Drosophila melanogaster: one gene and its partners. The protein of the gene in region 2 purifies or fractionates together with the protein of the main gene of each other region. This does not show direct contact. Each region holds a gene or a part of one and is shown on either strand. Other genes may lie near its edges.

Region 1 (6,223 bases), about 17 Mb from region 2:
TTGAGCTGGATGAAGACGCCCAGGTATTCAAAGGTGTCACAAAAATGTTGTCACCTACTGCAAATACTGTGGCCTTCAAGGAGCATTGAGGCCACAGTAGATCTCAATCCCCATAGACACCTGCAATAGTCTGGAAGCGTACGTACATTACCTCGCAGCCACAATCGCGGAAGCAGCACAGAGGGCCACACCTCCCCCACATCAAGCTCGTCACACGACCGCAAGGAGGGAGCTGCTCTCCCACAAAAGGCGCCTCAGGAGACGGTACATCGCAACAGGAGATCCTAGCATTAAGCAGCTATACTCTAGCACCACTAACAAACTGCAGCGTTTGCTAGCCAGGACACGACGAGAAAATCTGGATACCCTGCTGGAGGGTACTGGCCCAGATAACAACAGCAATTTTTCATTATGGAGGCTCACAAGAGGTATCAAGAGACAGCCGTTGTTTCAATCTCCCGTCCAGAGTCACAGTGGCCTCTGGCTTAAGACGGACGATGAATAAGCGAGGACATTTGCTTCGCACCTGACCTCCACCTTCATGCCCTTCAACCTAACAGACGACTCAAACCGCGTAGCCATCAATAATTTTCTGGACACTCCGACTGCACCGGCTCGCCCCATTAGGCATACCCCACCGCCGGAAGTCATGATGCAGCTGAAGGCGCTACAAATCAAGAAATCGAGAAAACCCCTGGTTAGGATGGCATCGACAACCGTGCTGCGAAGTCTCTGCCACGCAAAGGAGCTCTAGCCTTAGTAAAAATATTTAATGTCATCCTAAGGCTAGGGCACTTTCCAAGGTAATGGAAGCGTGCACGTATCATAATGATACCTAAAGCCGGAAAGCCGCCAACGAAGATCGATGCATATCGCCAAGTCAGCTTGCTATAAACTTTCTCCACGATTTTTGAGAGAATACTCTTAGCCCGCCTGATGGAACTGCCGCAAGTAGTGAACCACATACCTCGACACCAATTTGGCTTCAGGAAGTTCCACGGCTGCCCTGAACAAATACATCGACTGTTAAACCAGGTGACGCATGGCTTCGAGCACAAACTCTACACGGTCGGCGTCTTTCTAGACGTGAAGCAAGCGTTTGACAGGGTGTGGCATGAAGGACTTCTATACAAGATGAAAGCTCTCCTTCCTGCTCCCTACTATGCCATCCTGAGATCGTTCATCTCTCATCGGACCTTCGACCTTGCAGTGCGTGATGCTCGGTCCAGCCTGGAAGAGATTCACGCAGGAGTTCCACAGGGAAGTGTTCTTGGGCCCTTCCTGTACACCCTGTACACTGCCGACCTGCCATCTCCCGCCAACAACACCGAAGTCTCCCCGGATCAGCTGCTCCTGGCCACGATGACACCGCCATGCTGGCGTCTCATCCTGTACTGTAAACTGCCTCCAACGCAGTCCAGGAATGGCTGTATGTAGTCGAAAAATGGACTGCCAAATGGAATGTGGCCATTAACTCCTCGAAGTCAGCCTGCGAACTTTTACCCTGTGGCCCGGAACTTTTTGATGGAAACTCCATCATCAATGTCACATCGCACTACCTAGGAGTTCATCTAGATCGGAGACTGACCTGGAGGGCCCACATCACGTCGGTCAAATTTTAGTCACTGGCGAAGCTAAAAAAGCTCGACTGGCTCTTCCACTCCAGCAAACTACAAGTGAGCTCTAAGGCTCTTTTAATCAAAGCCATACTTGCTCCAACGTGGAGTTATGCCATCCAGGTGTGGGGAACTGCCGCCAAATCCCAGCTCAATAGGCTCCGTGTCGTCTAGTCGAGAGCTGCACGTCGTGCTTTTGGGCTCCCCTGGTACGTGACAAACAAGGTAATCGAAAGAGATCTGAAAGTTACCCCTCTTGGGGATCAGATTAATTTTCACAGCAGCCGTTATGCCGACAGGCTTATGGTCCACCCGAACCGACTAGCAAATAGCCTATCTAATCCCATCTCCCTCCGAAGGCTGAAGAGGGTACACCCCACCGATCTCCCTACACCCTTACACAATAAGTAATTAATAACTAGATACATTTTCCCTTTTGTACTTAATAATTAAGAAACCACTTGGTCTAATATACCTTTATACACACATAAGGTTAAGTTCAGAGGAATTGACCGAACGATTCCTTTTGGAACCAAAATAAATAGAATGAAGTTTAAAAAAAAAAAAATATATTGTTATATATATACAAAATTGGAGGGAAAAAGTCTCTTTAAAGACACTTCATGTTCCACCTGTTTCCAATTTATCCTGTTTTATCGACCCTTTAATGATCTCAGAATTCCATGTCTGACTTCTGTCTCAAAAAATAGTAGCCAACAATAAAAAATGAGATTGAGACAAACCTGTTGATATGCGTTGGGACCATTTTATTTATTATATTATATGTATGTTACATTGTTAAATTGCGTTTGGAAAAATGCCTACATAATACTTTGACACTCCTTTCGGTCGTTCTTATATTATTCTAGCCTGAGATGGTTTCATACATCAAAAGTGAAGTCTTTAGTTTTTATAGTTGTATTCAAATATTTTTGGGCGCCACTGATTACATAGGACAACTTAAATAACTAATTTTTTCTGAATCACAAGAACAGACATTATTTGCCGTCTCTAACATAGTTAAGCGTTTTTTTTTAAACTATATTATATTAAGGCTCACAGAGCAAAAAATGTGAAATAGTATAAGCAACTTACAAGTAAATGCGAAAGAATTGACGTGCGGTCAGCTTCTTGTTGCATATTGGGCACTTGTGCGTAGCTCTGATGGCTGTTTCGATGCATTCGCGGCAGAAGACGTGTCCACATTTGGTTGACACTGGCTCGCGCTTCGATACACTGTCCATGCAGATGGGGCACTTGTATAACTCCTCTTTTTGGGACTCATCAATGTCGCGATTAACGCGTTTTGGTGGCGACGCAACGTCGAGATCCACTACCGGGTCATTTTCGGCTGACCGACGTGGCAGAATGGTGAGGGAGTCGTTGGAGTGAAGATTCACTGTGCGACTTCTTGGGCCTTCGGGGGTGCATAGATCGATGAAAGCATCGGGATCACGATTCCGAGCGGATCGAACAGGTGGTGCACGGTCCAAATGGGACAGATCTATCACTTCTACTGGACTCGCTACGGAAAAAGTAAGAAACGGTATTCGGTTTATTGCTAGCTCTATCCGCGAAAGCTATCTGGTTTTCACAAAATTTTAAAAAATATAGATAAATTTTGCCTTCAAAAGTAAGTAACCCGGCAGGGTTATAGAAAGAACTATGTCATTGGTTATTGTGGAATTAAAAACATTGTTCATTGTGAAACCCAGATGCGTTCATTTTGATCTGCACTTACTTCTGCGGCGAATTCTACGAGTTGTTGGCGTTGAGGTTCTCGTGGCGAAGGTGTCAATCTGTGCCACAACTTCCTCGCAGTAGCGATTCACTGAAATATGAAACAATTAACAGAAAACTTCGTAATGATTATGGAGTGACATACTGCGATCCAACTCTGCTTCCATCTGGATCACATCCTGGGTAAGTGATCTGATCTGCGAATGAGCATCTTCAGTCGAGACAGACAAGTTAGCCATATTTAAGGGGTTATTGCTTTGCGGTGACTGCAGTTGGTTTGAAGCTTCTCCGACTGAAGATTCGCTGGTATTGGTGGCTGAAGATGAGTCTGATTCCACAGATAAATCACGCTCCACTGGGGATGGGCGTTCCAAGGACGAATGGGAATCAGCGGATGAATCAGATTCCGCGGATGACTGAGATTCCACGGATGTATTGTGTCCCGAATTGGATTCTATGGATGAATGGGAGTCCACAGAAGAGTCGGATACACTGGAATTGGAGCTCGAACTGGATACGTTGCTGTCCGCTGACTGATCAAGAATGGATGAGTTCTACTAAATAAATCAATCATAAATCGGAATTAACTAGTTTAAAGTCCAGGGTATACTTACAAAACGGAAAATAGTCGAATCTGACATTGTTCGAGCAACAAATGACCAGGAAACTTGTGAAATGATTTCGTAGTAAAGACAAAAGCAGGTGAACCCAGATATACATGTGCTTTAGTGCAGATTGAAATGTGCAAAATAGTTTCCTCCTTTCACGCGACCATTCGGTTATTTTAAAGATGACACTTTACGGACATTCGGGAACAAGGATTTAAGATCGACTATCGATTTTTGCGGTATTATACAATGCTGTTTAGAATGACACTTGTAATTCAATAAAAATCAATAATTTATTAAAAATAAAATTTCCGTTTCGGCGAAATTCTTTGATAACAAAATAATTATAAGAAATGTATATAAATATGTCGACATTACAAAACCATACCATCACTATGTAAACGATATTTTTTAGGCGATTAAATGCCATCGATATATACCGTGCCGTGGTAGTGTTAGAAAATTGCGGGAATTAACGTTAAATGCACGTCACCAAAGCAGAATAATAGAATATTTTCGAAACAAAACAAAGTTGGAGACATGGACAAGGATGCGTTTACATTACAGGCCATACGGCAGGACCTTATCGATAACAATCTGCAGGCTAAGGCAATAATACACGTAAGTCTCCGCTATCTGAAGAGAAACCCTCATTACCGAGCTTCTGTTTTTAGGACATCCTGAACAGCCGCACCTCCATCGCCGAACTCGAGGAGCTGAACGAAGCGGGCCGCTCCAAACTGTCTGCTATCCGCAAAAGCATCGAGCGGCTGGACGACTGGGCGCGGGACACGGCAGACTCTGCGCTGGCCAATGAAGTGGACGACCACCGTGATCAGTTCTCCAAAACGCTGCAGGCGTTCCGAAAAGCAAACGTGTCCACGATGCTGGAGATCGAGAAGGCCAATCGGGAGGAGTTAATGGCCATTACCGGCGAGAGTGAGCTACGCCAACGAACCACAACACGGGCGCGGCACAACCAGGGCAGTCTGGTTTCGCAGGAGAACGACGTGACCGAGAAGATGCTGGCTATATCGCGGCACCTCTCGGAGACCACCCAGAAGAGCGCCATCACCCTGGAAACGCTCGTGGCCTCGTCGCAAAATGTGGAGGCCACCAGCGACGAACTGCACCACACGGCCGGCAGCATTAGCATGTCCGGCAAGCTGCTCAAAAAGTACGGACGACGCGAGTGCACTGACAAAATGCTGCTCTTCTTCGCCTTCTCCTTGTTCCTCGCCTGTGTCTTTTACATCGTCCAAAAGCGACTCTTCTAAGACTCCACAAATGGACAAAACCCGTTCCCAAAATAGCTTAAGGTTGTCGCTTCTGTTGTCTAGGTATAGCTAGATTAAGCTTAGCACATGACCATACCTTGTAAGCACAGCTCCTATATTTATATTATTTAGTGATTTGCCTAAGTTGTAAACGTGGTACAGCCAAAGACCCTAGAATAACAAGATGCGTAACGCCATACGATTTTTTGGCACACGATTTTTTGGCCGTGGCTCTAGAGGTGGCTCCAGGCTCTCTCGAATTTTTGTTAGAGAGCGAGAGAGCGAAGAGCGCTACAGCGAACAGCTCTTTTCAACGCACAAAGTGATAGCAGACATCTGTATGTGTGCACACGTATTCACATGCATTGTAAATTTGACAAAATATGCCCTTCACCTTAGAAGTTCTTTGGCTTTAAATCTATATTATTTTTTATCAATTGGCACCATGCGAAAAATTCTTGTTTTGCATTGCCTTAACGTTATTATTATTTGAAAATAGATTAGAAATAGTCAAATCTATGTACATATTATCACAAAAATAAATTTCAAAAATGAATTTATATAAGAATATTTGTCATTAGAGTATTCATCTTGCGGCGTGTGAAAAATTAATAAGGCAATGATTGTTGAGTGCTTGTGTCCGCACTTCGTGCCTCAAGATATGAACAAAGCAAAGACACTAGAATAATTCTATTGTCTTTGATATTACTTTTGCAATTTAATTTAATTGCATATTTAATTATTTAGTATATTTATTAAATCATTTGACTTAATATGATGTAACATTAACATTAAAAGTGTTTCAAAAAAAATATTTCGGTTTTAAAAAATTGTCAGATGAGAGACAAATTAGAATTAAACATAAATACAAATGTGTAAACGGTAGCTAATTCGAGCGGCGATTTTAACAAAGAAATTTAAAAAAGCTTTAAAATTATAATAGCCAGGGCGCGAATTTTTAAAAATTTTTTATTTTATCATA
Region 2 (6,223 bases):
ATGGCTGGATGTTTGGATATCCTGGCTGGAGTGAGCAAAAGCCTCCGAGGACTCGGGATGTCTACACAAAGCGGCAATGCAAACAACACGATTCGGAGGATGTATTTTACCTAGAGCTGATGATTTAAGCCACGAGTATCCTTCCGTTTTTAGGCGCCAAATAGAGAAGCACTGTTGGTTACCACATATAATATATATGTGCACAAGTTGGTTGTACGTTTCACTTGATATTCACTGCATTCGTTACAAAAACACACAACGAGCGTCGGAATTGGGGTTAAACAAATTGGAAAACAAACGGAGTTCAATAACAATGAGTTTCATGCGATTGAAAATTACTTTTTTGGTTTTCTTTGTTTTACAGAAAAAGCGCGAATTAAATGTTGCGTCCATCAAGCACGAAGGATAAACTCTTTCTGATTGAAAAGTAAGCGAAATGAGGAAATTCCCTTCAGCTGGCGAGAGCTTTTCCCATTAGAGCTTTCCTCTCTCAGTTGCTCTCAGTTGAGAGAGATTATTATCCTGCGTGTGTCAGAATTTGTGCAGTGAAATTCCAAGGAAAGCCGCACAAGAATAAGGAACAGAGAGCAACGAGAGAGCGAGAGAGAGAGAGAGCAAAGCCGGTGGAAGGAGGCAACTACTGAACCCACCACAAACCATCCCCCTCAGCAGCATCCGCTCTCCTCCTGCCAATATAAACAACCATTTGGGATCTGTTTCCAGCTCTGTGTGAGTGCGCTATATGCTAGATAAACAAAATATTAGGGGTGTATAATGAATGCTTGAGGGTTTTTTGGAAGTTGCCCGCTGCTCCACTTGGTGACAAATTGCTGAAATCTAGTCGAAGTGCGAATACGCTTTTGTTGTTTTTGTACGCAATGTAATGGAATTTTGTGACTGCAATGTAGAAAAACAAATAATATATTCCTTAAATCATCCCAAATGAAACAAATAAAAGTACAAAGAAAATTAGAAATATTCAATCATACATAGAAACATTTGATAATAAAATAAATCTTGCACAGCAATTAACTAATCGTAAACAAAACATTAATATAATTTCTTTTAAAAATATTTTTCGGCTAGAATAGATAAATTTGCTCAAAATTTAAGCCTTTATTTTAAGATCTATAACTTCGTTGCCCTCCATATCCTGGTTATTGGGCGTATCATTTGGATCCAACAAGTCACCGTCAAAACTGAAATCACCTCAAATTCAGTGGATTGTCTCTACTTTTTCCAGCTTTTAGTACTTACAACAATTTAATGGTTCGGGGATCACAGTTCAACTCCTCAGCACACTTAATAAATATGATTTTGAAATTATCAGTTTTCTTCATGGGTATCACCAAAGGATGCTTCCATTTATCCGCCTGTACTTTAACTTGAAACTTCTTAGGTTTCCGGCAAAGAGCTTCTGGATTGTAGTCAATTTTAGCAGCCACGTTGTTATTATTGTGACTCTTTGTTGGATGGCCAGCTGTTAAATAGTTGAGAAATTTTCAAATAATAATATATATCTGAATAGAGGACACCTACTGAGCGTATGAAATGATTTGAGACCAATGCTGTGCGGCGTATCCTCAGGTCCAACGAAGTTATAGTACATATCCACCGTTATATCATTCTCATCTATCCCATTGCGTGATGCTAACTCCTTGAACAGATGCTTAAACTTTTGGTGCTGCCGCAATTTATAAATCTGGATCTCGCCAAGCCTGCATAAAAATATTTATATTAATCACGAAAAAGGATAAATATATTAAAACTTACCACGACAAAGCTACTTCTATTGTGGGATTATCGTTATCAAAAATATTTTCTTCCTCTACGACAGGAGGAGCCTCCTTTTCACCCTCGTCTTCAGAGTCTAGATTAACCTGTGAAGAAATAAGTATAATATTAGCCTTATTGAATAGTACAACTTCTTTCTAGGGACTTACAAATCCCTCCACTCGGGGAGCGACCGCAGATACCAGATCAATACTGTCCACCACTTTGGAACGGGCTGCAACTTCGGCCAACGTCCACCGTCTGCTAATGTGCTCATTGTTCTGCTACAAATATGAAGAGATTAGAAAATACCCAAGATCTCTATTCGAAATTTCAAACATACACCTACAATGCTTGGCAATGAGACCTCCATCGAAGCAGAGTTGCTGGTTGTGGTTGTTAGAGATGTTCTCTTTTTTTGGCCGCGCTTCTTTGGTTTCGTCTGTGTGGGCACCTCCACAGTCGGTGAAACAGGTGGTGGCGCCATTTCTGACCTATTTAACGATGACCGTGTGCGTCTGGCCACAGGACCAACGTCATTTTCTTTGGCGTGCTTCTCCACATCCGATTGCTGGCCATTTTTCTTTTCCATCTCCAATATCAACAGGGATACCGGTGATAGGGAGCGCTCTGTTCTCATATCCTCTTCTGGCTCCACAGCCTTATGTTCTGCCTGTTTTGGTGGCGAAGCATCATCCTGACTTTTGGGTGGATTTTTCCGCGTCGCTGCAGGGTTCTTTCGTTTGCCAGTTTTAGTTGATTTCTTGGGGAGGTCTTCAATGAAATCGTAGTCCACCTCCTTGGAGAAGGAATCATTGCCAAGATTGTAAGGATTCTTGGGCAAAGCTGATAAAGACGACAAAAGCGAAGGTATGTGGAAAAACTTGGATTTCTGCAGTTTAAAGCTAACCTATTTCGGGAATCCGCTTGCGAGCAGCACTGAATATATCGCAGTCGTCGTCGGACATCGTGGGCACTCAGTAACAGTCAGTAATAAACCAATAACGGCGCCAAACAATAAACACAAACACAAAACCAAATAGACGCCACAGTGGTTGCAAGGAAAATCGATATCCGATAACTACTGTGACCAGGGTAGCCACACGACACGAGACCACGATCAAAGTATTTGCTGGTAGTCAAATGTAATTTACAATTCGATTTTATTTAATGTGTGTATCGATGATTTGGACATGTTAATTATTTGTATTATCACGATTGAATTCACTAAATGTTTGTACAAGCCTACTGTGACGTAGAGCAACTCTGGCCGACAGCTGTTTGGCCAGTGTTGACAAGCGCCACGCCGTCAAAAGCAAATCTCATTTAGTTTCCAACGCTGCTGGCCTGGCAAAAGCAAAAATCGAATGTATTATAATAAAGGCCCGTAATGCTATTGAAAATAACTTAGAGCCTCGCGACCAGAGGCTTTTCCGCGTGTGTGTGTGCACTTGTGCGTGTGCGTGTGTTTGCCCTTGGGTGCGTGTGTGTTTACCTGGATTCCCTAAAAAAAAATCAGTAAACTGAAAGTGAGAAAAAGAAAACGGGAAGAGACGACAAAGTCTGCCTGCGTGCCATTTTTTTCATTTCATTTTGCGTGGAATACTTTGAGACGACGCGATGGCCTCCACCAGCAATCTGCTGGACGTGGTGCGCCACTACCAGCGCAGCATTGAGAAGCACGGCGAGGACGAACAACGGGTGAGCTATTACCCTCATTGGCACCGCCATCGCATCCCTTTTGATCCACTGCTTACTGCCTTCCTATCATTCAAGTCCCCCATTTTCCTAACCATTTAATCACCCCTATGTACCTGACCTGGCTGGCTTTCCCTTACTTAACCTTGTGAAATTCGCAAACATATGTACCTCCGCCAAGGTCACTTTTCTCGACTTTAAGTCGCTCTTCTTTTCCGCTGACCTTTCACTCACACGGTCTTTTGCTAATCTTTCTTAATCACCTCTTTCGCTACCTGCTCTCCCGTCGAGCAGCTGCTGCACTGCATCACCAAGCTGTTCAACCTGCCGATCAAATTCGAGCACCTGCAGGAAACGGGAATTGGCAAGACGGTGAATGCCCTGCGCAAGATCAGCGGGGAAGTTGGCGTGGCGGCCAAGACGCTGGTAACCAAGTGGAAGGCAATGGTGGCGAAGGAGGACCCTTCGATCGCATCTACGCCTACAGCCATACATAACGAAGAGGACTCGGGCAAGACCAAGTCCAGCGACGAGGATCCCGACCAGGAGAACAAGGGCGGCAACTCATCCAGCGGCGAGGACTTGAACACCAGCAAGCACAAGTCAAAGCATGCCAAGAGCACCAAGCATGAGCGTAGCAGCAGCAGCCGATCTCACTCCAAGAGTAGGTCTGACTCGGATAAGAAGCACAAGAGCTCTCGCCACGATAAATCCAAGGATAGAGATAAAGATCGGGAGGGTCAGAAGGAAGCTAAGGAGCACAAAGAAAAGAAGTCAAATGGCGAGCACAAGTCAAAGGATTCCAGCAAATCCAGCAGCAGTCACAAGAGCAGCAAATCCGAGAGCCACAAGAGCGAACACACCAAAAGCAAGCACGAAAAGGTATGCTTTCCTCTTGATCAAAAGTGGTTATTGTTCTTATGCATTTTTTTTTCAGGACAAAACTTCTCACAGTGAATTAAAGGAAGTCAAAGACAAGTCGAGCAAACACAAATCATCGTCCTCCAAGTCATCAAAGCGCTCCCATAGTCCCCCACGCCACGAGGAGGAGTCCCAAAAAGCAAAGATACCAAAAGTTAAATCGAAATCTGAGGAAGATTCCGCTGATGGTTTTGACTCCAGCATGGGCGCAAATTTTGACGATGTTCTTGGTCTGCTAAACATACCCATAAGTAGCAAGAAGAGCAGCAGCAACAGCAAGAGCAAGTTTGTCGCCAAGCCAACTGCAGCCCCTTCCTCGTCAGCTCTATCAGCACCTACGACTGCTGGGTCATCTAAAGAGGCACTCTCAACTAGCAGTCGACCGACCTCCAAAGTAATTAGTAGAAATTCATTTTTATAAGTTGTGGTAACATATGTTTATTCTTTAGAAACCCGAACTGTTGGCATCCACAGCTAAGCTGGAGCCCTTGGATCCAAACATTGCACTAGAACTTCCCACCATATCCAATAACTACAAGCCCATGCCATTAAATCAGACAGTTATGGACGTCGTCTTTAACCAGGGTGGCTCACACAAGGCGCAAGCATCACGATACTTTAATGAGTCAGAAGCTCTAGCGCAGGGCATCTCTTCCAAAACTATGCGGTGAGCTAGGATATTATAATGTGATGCACAAAGTATATCAACTTTTTATACTTTGTAGCACCAAGATCTATTCGGGTGTGAGAACTGGTCAAATCCTGCAGGTCCCTTCCCTTTTTGATCTCTGCACCCGCGTGCTGCAAAAGAATATTGATGGTAAGATCTTACTAATGGTCATATCGAATGTAAATAACCATCTTAATTGTTTTTCAGCATTGGAGTATACGGGTGGCGTTCCGTTTGAGGTCCTACGTCCCGTTTTGGAGCGAGCTACCCCCCAGCAGCTGCTTAACTTTGAGGAGTACAATCCTTATTTAATGGATGACAGTGATGTCCTATGGCAACAGCATGTCCAACGTCACTGTCGCAGTCAGCGGCGTGAAGAGATGGAAACGTGGCGCGAAATGTTTTTGGTAGGGACGCAAAGACCCTAAATTAATGCAAACTAAACTAAGCTGACACAAAAATTTCGTTCTAGCGCTGCCAAGAGGAAAAGGATCGCAAACTTAGCATTCTGGCCGAGAGCATCAAGGCATCGCAAAAGATAAGCGAGGCGCCTGTGCGCAAGACGCAATTGGCCTTTGTGGACTCAATGGTGAAGCCGCCGCGTAGTGTGCAGCGCAAGCAAGAGCAATATGGCACCAAGGGCAAGCTAATTGCCACTCCAGCCGCCCGAGTGGCCGCCTTGTCCAGCGTGACTCCAAATGCAGCCAAGGTGGGCGATGCCCGACTACGTGTGCTGGCCGCTGCCAGGGACACGGCCCAAGTGGGTAAGTATTGTAATGATTGTGGTTAAGAATTAAATTTACCTATAATTTTTATTGAAAAGGGGCTGGACCAGCGCGATCGAAGAAGGCACCTCTAATGGCGAAGACCTTGCAGTTTATGCGCGGACGTCTCAAACGATAGATGCGCTTACTCATTATAGCTACAATCTTATACTCAACTTCTTCAGCGACAACTTAAGCAGCAGCAGTAGCAGCAACCTCGATCTATTAGGCATTCACGGTGGGATTACCTTCCAACTTTATTGGCAAAGACTTTCAGGTCTGAATAAAGTGACATTGTGATACTAGACCTTCTACTTCCCAGTGCGCTGTGGAATCAGACTGCTGCTGTCGGCATGCGTAGCATATGCATGCTATTTATTATTTATTCATGTTCTGC
Region 3 (6,223 bases), on a different chromosome or scaffold from region 2:
GGCCATATTCTTTTCAATTATAAGTCGGTCAATAGCTTTCAAGCACGAGCACAATTCCGCATCAGCATCGAATATTTTTTTTAAGTCTTTATGCAAACTGTTACAAAAATTGGTTTCAAGACAGTCTAGCGCTGAAAAAACACGGTTCATAATGGCTGAATATTTAGTGCACTAAGAAATACTTACAATCGCTATTGCGCAGGGCTTCCAGCTTCTTTTGGAGCGTTTCAATTTCGGTTTTCAGGCTATTAAAATGGGCTATTTTTTGGTCAAGCTTTCGTCTCTTCTCTTGCTCATCCTTTGCAACAGCTTGCAATCGTTCAAATTCATTGTCGGTCTGGGTTATTGCGTTTTTAATGCTGTCGCTTTCCTTCACTGCTTCGGAGCACTGTTTCATCACCAGGGCCAGTTGTTGTGAGTCCACTGTAATAAGTTGGTTCTTCGCTCGAATGCTACTTTCAGTTAGAATAGTATCCGACCGATAGCGGGATGCGGTCACAACGAACTTCTTGCTGCCTAAAATGCACAGTACGGAATTCAAAATCAGAATTTATACATTTGCGAAGCGAAACCGAATAAGAAAAATATACACACCGCCGAAATAAACTCGGATAGCTTTTGGAATGGATGAAGTGTAATTGCCCACAGCTTCTGTGCCAATTGGTATATTATGAATGGAATAGGAAGCGCACAGCTTGTTTATTAGTGGTATTGGTCCCGTGACAAGATCCACGAGGTATGACCGAAATCCGAAAGAGCTGTAAAAGTATTTAAAACTAGGTATTGGACTAGTATTGGACAATTGACAAGTGCATACCGCAGATCATCGATGGGAGTTTTGGGACTGTACACGAGTCTATCGGATGGTGCGCAGTAAATAACGTTAACTCCCAATTTTTGCTTCACACACAACTCGTTGATCAGGTCCGACATATCCCCCTTGTCCTCACACGCAAATGCAAATAAATCGCGCTGCGCCACAACGTTTTCCAAAAACTTTGCGTCCTCATGATTTTGTACTGTAAGCTATGATAGCGGTTTTAACATTAGGCCATTGGTAATGGCTTCATTTTGAAAAGCTCACCTCAAGTATCATTGGGTCATAAACGTTCAATTTGTACCTTTGCTTATTTTGCGCCAACCAGTTCATGGCCACAACCAAATTCGGATTTTTTGCTCTAATTTCCTAAAATGAAAGGTAGCGTTAAGTTGAGTTTTCATTATTTCAGTAAGAACTTACATCAATCTTTTGCATTTTGACGTTTCTCAACCGCTCTATTTTAAGTTTATACGCAGTAATTTCAGGAATCATTTCATCATTCAGTTTTTGTTCCAGTTGTCTCCGTCTGCTGTACTGCTCCATTGCTTTCCCGCGGGCAGCTGCGCACGATTCCTTAGCCCTTTCAAGTTCCGAAACGATCAGAGGCCTGCTCTTATTTAGGGTTTCAAGCTCGTAAATTTTATTCTCCACCAACTGATTTAGGTTATCACACTCTGTGGCCGTTCTTCGTGATTTTTTAATGTTTTGCTATGTGACAGAATGTAAGATTAAGAGTTATTCACATGATCGATATATGCAACAAGAACACCAACCTCCAGTTCATATTTTTTTTGGTAAATTCCTTGCTTCAAAGAGTCCATTTTACCATCAATAGCCGCCTTCTCCGCTACAGCGTTTTCTAATAAGCGTGTCTAAAAAAACTTATTTTTAAAAAATATATTAAAAAACACTGCCACCCATTACCTTTTCCAATAAGGCCTTTCTGAGTGATTCTTTTTCCTTCTCAATTTGTTCTTGGGATTGAAGAAGTTTGTCATGTTGGTTCTTCAATTTGTCGCTCTGAGTTTTTGCGTTTTTCACTTGAGTTTTCATTTCTGCGGCCTTGGCTTCTCCAGCCTGAGTCTCAACCCACAATTTCTTCGCACTGTACACCTGCAGCTTTTGCTTGACCTCTTCGCGTTCTTTATATTGGGACACAGTCATTTGTAAGCTAATAAAATGATATTAAGACAATTAGGTTTTTAGTAAGAATTAAAATTTTGTACTTCATCCACACATTTGGTTACATTTTACTTAGTGAATAAAAATAAGCTCGGGTAACTATATCTTACTGTTCCAATCGTTTTTGCTTCTTAACCAGATCACTTTTCTCTTTTTCCCGATTAGCATGGACATTCGCCTGTTCTGTGCGCATTTGCTTTAGACTGTTGAAGCTGTTGATCAGGTCTTCGTCACACACGGAGGACATTGTGTTGAGCAAAAGCTCTTGAGGATTCATCTTGGAGAAGTCCTGAAACAGTATGTTTACAATAAATAGGTGTGTAATTTATGAATTGCCAACATAACGACATACCTGAACCCGATCCTGCGGGAGGAACTGACACAAATTGCTGACTTGTATGTTAAAGGAGGATACAGCAGCCAAAAAGTTCTTCTTGGAGGTGTCTTTGTCGTTCACAGAGAAGGTAGACAAGCCATTAGAGTTTATTATGCGCCGAAAGGTTTCCGTGGTGTTGGGCGTGCGTCCATACACCCGGACAATTATGGTGGCCGAGGTTTTGTTGCTCTGTATGTAGTCGGCAACGCTGGCGGAGCGATCAAGGAGAATCGGTTCCCCTCCGAGGCCCAAAATTATGGCCGACACGATGGTGGACTTGCCACTGCCATTGGGACCGGTCAGAACGTTCAGGTAGTGCTTCGGATGGAATGTGATCTCGCTGTAGGATCTGTTGTTGGAAATAATCAAATGAGCCGCGAAATTGTCAATTTGCGCCTTTGATGGAAATAAACCTACACGAAATCTTTGCAGTACACGGAATGTATGCGCCCCGCCAATTGCTTGGAACTTAAGGCACGATCCCCCGCCATGTCGTGGCGTAGGCTTTTATCCGAGCAAATGCTTATTTCAACTTAAGTAAAACGAGTTGTTTTAAATGCAATTCCGCGCTTTCAAGAATTTAGTTTTGCATTAGGGCATATGTGCACGTACCATTGTTGTCGATAACGATTGGTATATTAAGGGTACACTTGTGCGCCGCCCGTATGTATAATCAATTTATGTTTCTTTTATATTTTGAGCTGACAACATAAAAATGATAATTTTAAGCCTCAGAAATCTATTTTCGGAATAAAAACTGACAAGTAAAATGTCAGTAACAAATCGTGGAAACGATAATTACAAATTGATAGAAATAAATAGCAAGGAAAAAAGAAATATATAGAGCTTGAGCTGGGATGCAGCCAGACTGTCACAACAATTAATATCTATTACTTATCTTTCTGACGGGGCCTAAAAAATATCTGAATTTAGCTCCAAAAGGGTTTAGTTGCCAGCATTGGTGTCATCGCTATCGATTTTCTCTCATCTCTATTGGAAATTAATAAACTATTTTGCTTAGACAATACAATTCAAAATGAATGTAGGCAAGATAAGCGTTGTCACCAGACTTCCTGCCCTCCGCTCGTGCGCCCAGTACTCGAGCGCTGCGAAAGCGGAACTGCCGGCTTCCTTGGTCGGCGACGTGGATGTGGAACCAACATATCCCCAGACGGTGGACAGATCCGGCCTGCAACCACAACACAAAAATGTGCTCCTTAACAAATTGCCATACCAGGAACCTCACTCCTGGATTCATTTGACCGAGAAGTACCAGAGACAGGCATTCGGCCGGTATGGGGCCCAGAGCAATGTGAATCCCAAGATTTGCTTCGATTCCCACGGAGAGAAAGACAGCAGGCAGGTTATGCAACTAGAAACACTCCTGAAAATGCTGGAGAAGAACCGCGCGCAGAAGGCAGAGGAGCTGGCAAGGATAAATGCCCGTGAAGAGGACATTGCGAAGAAGATGGAGAAGTTGACACAGTGGAAGGCGGACCTGCACGCGAAGATCGCTAAGCGGGAGGCGGATGCAGCGGCAGCCATACAACGCAAGGAACGCCTGGTAGAGGAGGTGCGCCGACACTTCGGGTTCAAGGTGGATACACGCGACGAACGCTTTAAGGAAATGCTAGAGCAAAAAGAGAAGGAGGACAAGAAGAAGCAGAAGGAGGCCAAGCGAAAGGCCAAGGAGGAGAAGATGATGGCCAAGCTGGTAGAGAAAGCATCAGTGTAATATTTGTAGTATCAAAACCATCGATTTAAGCGAAGAACTGTTGTATGTTACACTAAAATAAAAACACTGCAAAAAGAAGAGCACTTATTATCTGTACTCCCATAAAATATTTTAAAGTGTTGCAAAATATTTTATATTTTTATAAATTAAGACAAGAATTTGCTTAGACTAGTGAAAAGTAAGCCCGATGTTTGTGTAATATATACGTTACACAAGCATTATTTTTAAAAGAGGATCAGTAGCCGAGTCGATCTAGCCATGAAGGAGCTTGCAAGTTGATAATAAGAATGCAAATTCCAAATACGCAGGGGTACTTGAGTATAGGTATCTAATAGGTCACTACACTATTATAATTGCACTGAGAATTTATTAATCAATATTTTTGGTTATACAAATAATACAAAGCTCTAATTGCTATGGCGCACGGACAGGGAACTATACACCGATTTTTCGCTTTCGCGCCGGCTATTCGCAAAAATGCTCTGCTTCTTCACGATGAATTCCTCCTCATTACAGTGTATACAGGCAGTCAAGAAGTTATGAATATGCTTTTCTTTCAATTCCTTGGAAATTTTTAGTGCCAGATCTAGAGCTTCACTGGTTCGCTCGACTTTGTGGAGTGCAGCATTCGCCTTTATTATCAGTAGGTAGCACAGAAACTGCCAAATGTAGCTATTGCATTTTTTTGCCTCTAAAAAGATAGATATATAGGTATTTCCATAACCGTTTAATAGTATAGCACTAATGGACCAAACCTTCAATAGACTTTCGGGCACTAAAACAGCATTCGTCAAACCTGTGTGATTTAAGATGAATCTCTGCCATTTGGTGAAGTAGGTAGGACTTCTCTATAGGGTACTTTGCGAAATTCATACGGTTCTCGAGTCGGTTTCCCATTAGACTGAAAACAAAATAAATTAAAATAGAATTTTTATCTCGACTGCGAGTTACCGTGATTTTGTCAAGGCCGGATCTACTGTTTCCGAGCCTTGGTGCGTAGTTCGATCCCCAAATACGAAGTGTTTCACTTCCTTTGACTTGTCCATAGGAAAGCGAAGCAATCGAAGCAGTGCGTTCTTCTCCGAAAAGCGAAAGTTCTTCGGAAGCGTGTACTGATCTACGTAGGCAAGCGCCAAAATATTGTACACCTCGTTGATGAATTCGAATTTCCAGGGCATAATCCTGTTGGTTTTTTTCACCACGTAATCTCCCATAACTTCCTCCACGTAACTGGTGAGTTTCTAAAACCATTAATCATTTAACCAATCTCTGTTCGAATTCATTCAAAATTCTTACTGTTAGACTCTTGGTTTTTCGAAGGTACCGAATACTACGCAGTGCGGAAATCATGTTTCGTCTTGTTTGGTACTGAACTCGAAAAAGATATTCCTGGCGAAACTTATCCATCAACTTCTTGTTTGTGAACTTTTGGTATCGGATATTGTACATGGGGCTACGGGCTTCCAGAATTTTCTGAAATAAACAATTAGGGACAATTTGGGTACTCATAATTCGGGTTCACCACTCAAACTCACCAGAAAGCTTTTGATCTCGTCATATTTCTTTGTAGAAAGCGTTTGTAAGTACTCAGTGGAGTTCTTACACTGATTCAAGAGAAGGTTTGGATTTCTAAGGCAAAAATGTAGGTACATATGCTATAATCAATGTTTTATAGTTTCACAAATGGTTTTACTTTCGAACGTGCTTGAGAAATATGACATCATGCCAAGACCTATCTATGAACATCTGGTTAAACACGTCGAAAGCACGACTTCGCCTCGCAATTTCAAGGGGGGAAAGCATTTCTTCCTAGTAAGACGGCCTATAACAGTAAGGGTAATTTTGCAAATTTGCCAATAATACCCACTTCGATTTCGGGAATGCTCAGGACATCGCATTTCTCCTGTTCCTTCAGAATTTTCCAAAGCGGCCTGGTATCGGGCTTGTACTTGTTCTGTACCTCCTTCAAGTGCACTATGAGTTTCTCCTTGTCCGATATGTACTGAGTCATCGAAGGGCCACAGGCATCTTCAATGTTCTCGTCCACCTGGAAGCACCCCAGAAATCAGGAGAAACCCAAACTCAACCCGAAACACCATCGTACCACCAC

What was found.
Region 1: the proteins of Rad60 (region 2) and dgrn purify together in Drosophila melanogaster (affinity purification with western blotting, with the first as the bait; one study listed by BioGRID). This does not show direct contact.
Region 3: the proteins of Rad60 (region 2) and SMC5 purify together in Drosophila melanogaster (affinity purification with western blotting, with the first as the bait; one study listed by BioGRID). This does not show direct contact.

The regions. Positions count from the first base shown.
Region 1 is NT_033777.3:5,822,723-5,828,945, reverse strand, and holds dgrn (degringolade), read right to left. Parts: upstream 4,332-6,223; 5' UTR 3,998-4,331; coding exon 3,971-3,997; intron 3,914-3,970; exon of another isoform or gene 3,911-3,913; coding exon 3,502-3,910; intron 3,448-3,501; coding exon 3,358-3,447; intron 3,142-3,357; coding exon 2,708-3,141; 3' UTR 2,370-2,707; downstream 1-2,369. Other genes in the region: Sec20 (secretory 20), read left to right, coding at 4,505-4,585, 4,639-5,241.
Region 2 is NT_033777.3:23,248,484-23,254,706, forward strand, and holds Rad60 (Rad60), read right to left. Parts: upstream 2,995-6,223; 5' UTR 2,742-2,994; coding exon 2,684-2,741; intron 2,620-2,683; coding exon 2,117-2,619; intron 2,058-2,116; coding exon 1,944-2,057; intron 1,881-1,943; coding exon 1,774-1,880; intron 1,719-1,773; coding exon 1,540-1,718; intron 1,481-1,539; coding exon 1,258-1,480; intron 1,200-1,257; coding exon 1,109-1,199; 3' UTR 960-1,108; downstream 1-959. Other genes in the region: EloA (elongin A), read left to right, coding at 3,394-3,474, 3,766-4,353, 4,409-4,786, 4,842-5,059, 5,118-5,212, 5,270-5,469, 5,535-5,826, 5,886-5,965. UniProt on the Drosophila melanogaster protein: Required for repair of DNA double strand breaks which occur during replication or are induced by ionizing radiation (IR). Functions with dgrn and downstream of the SMC5-SMC6 complex to regulate strand break repair.
Region 3 is NT_037436.4:21,566,025-21,572,247, reverse strand, and holds the start of SMC5 (structural maintenance of chromosomes 5), read right to left. Parts: upstream 2,997-6,223; 5' UTR 2,870-2,996; coding exon 2,796-2,869; intron 2,728-2,795; coding exon 2,355-2,727; intron 2,292-2,354; coding exon 2,113-2,291; intron 1,992-2,112; coding exon 1,745-1,991; intron 1,693-1,744; coding exon 1,594-1,692; intron 1,529-1,593; coding exon 1,241-1,528; intron 1,187-1,240; coding exon 1,085-1,186; intron 1,027-1,084; coding exon 818-1,026; intron 759-817; coding exon 595-758; intron 517-594; coding exon 187-516; intron 132-186; coding exon 1-131. Other genes in the region: CRIF (CR6-interacting factor), read left to right, coding at 3,415-4,113; CG7634 (uncharacterized protein), read right to left, coding at 4,521-4,804, 4,869-5,014, 5,065-5,354, 5,410-5,586, 5,649-5,742, 5,807-5,922, 5,981-6,160, 6,218-6,223.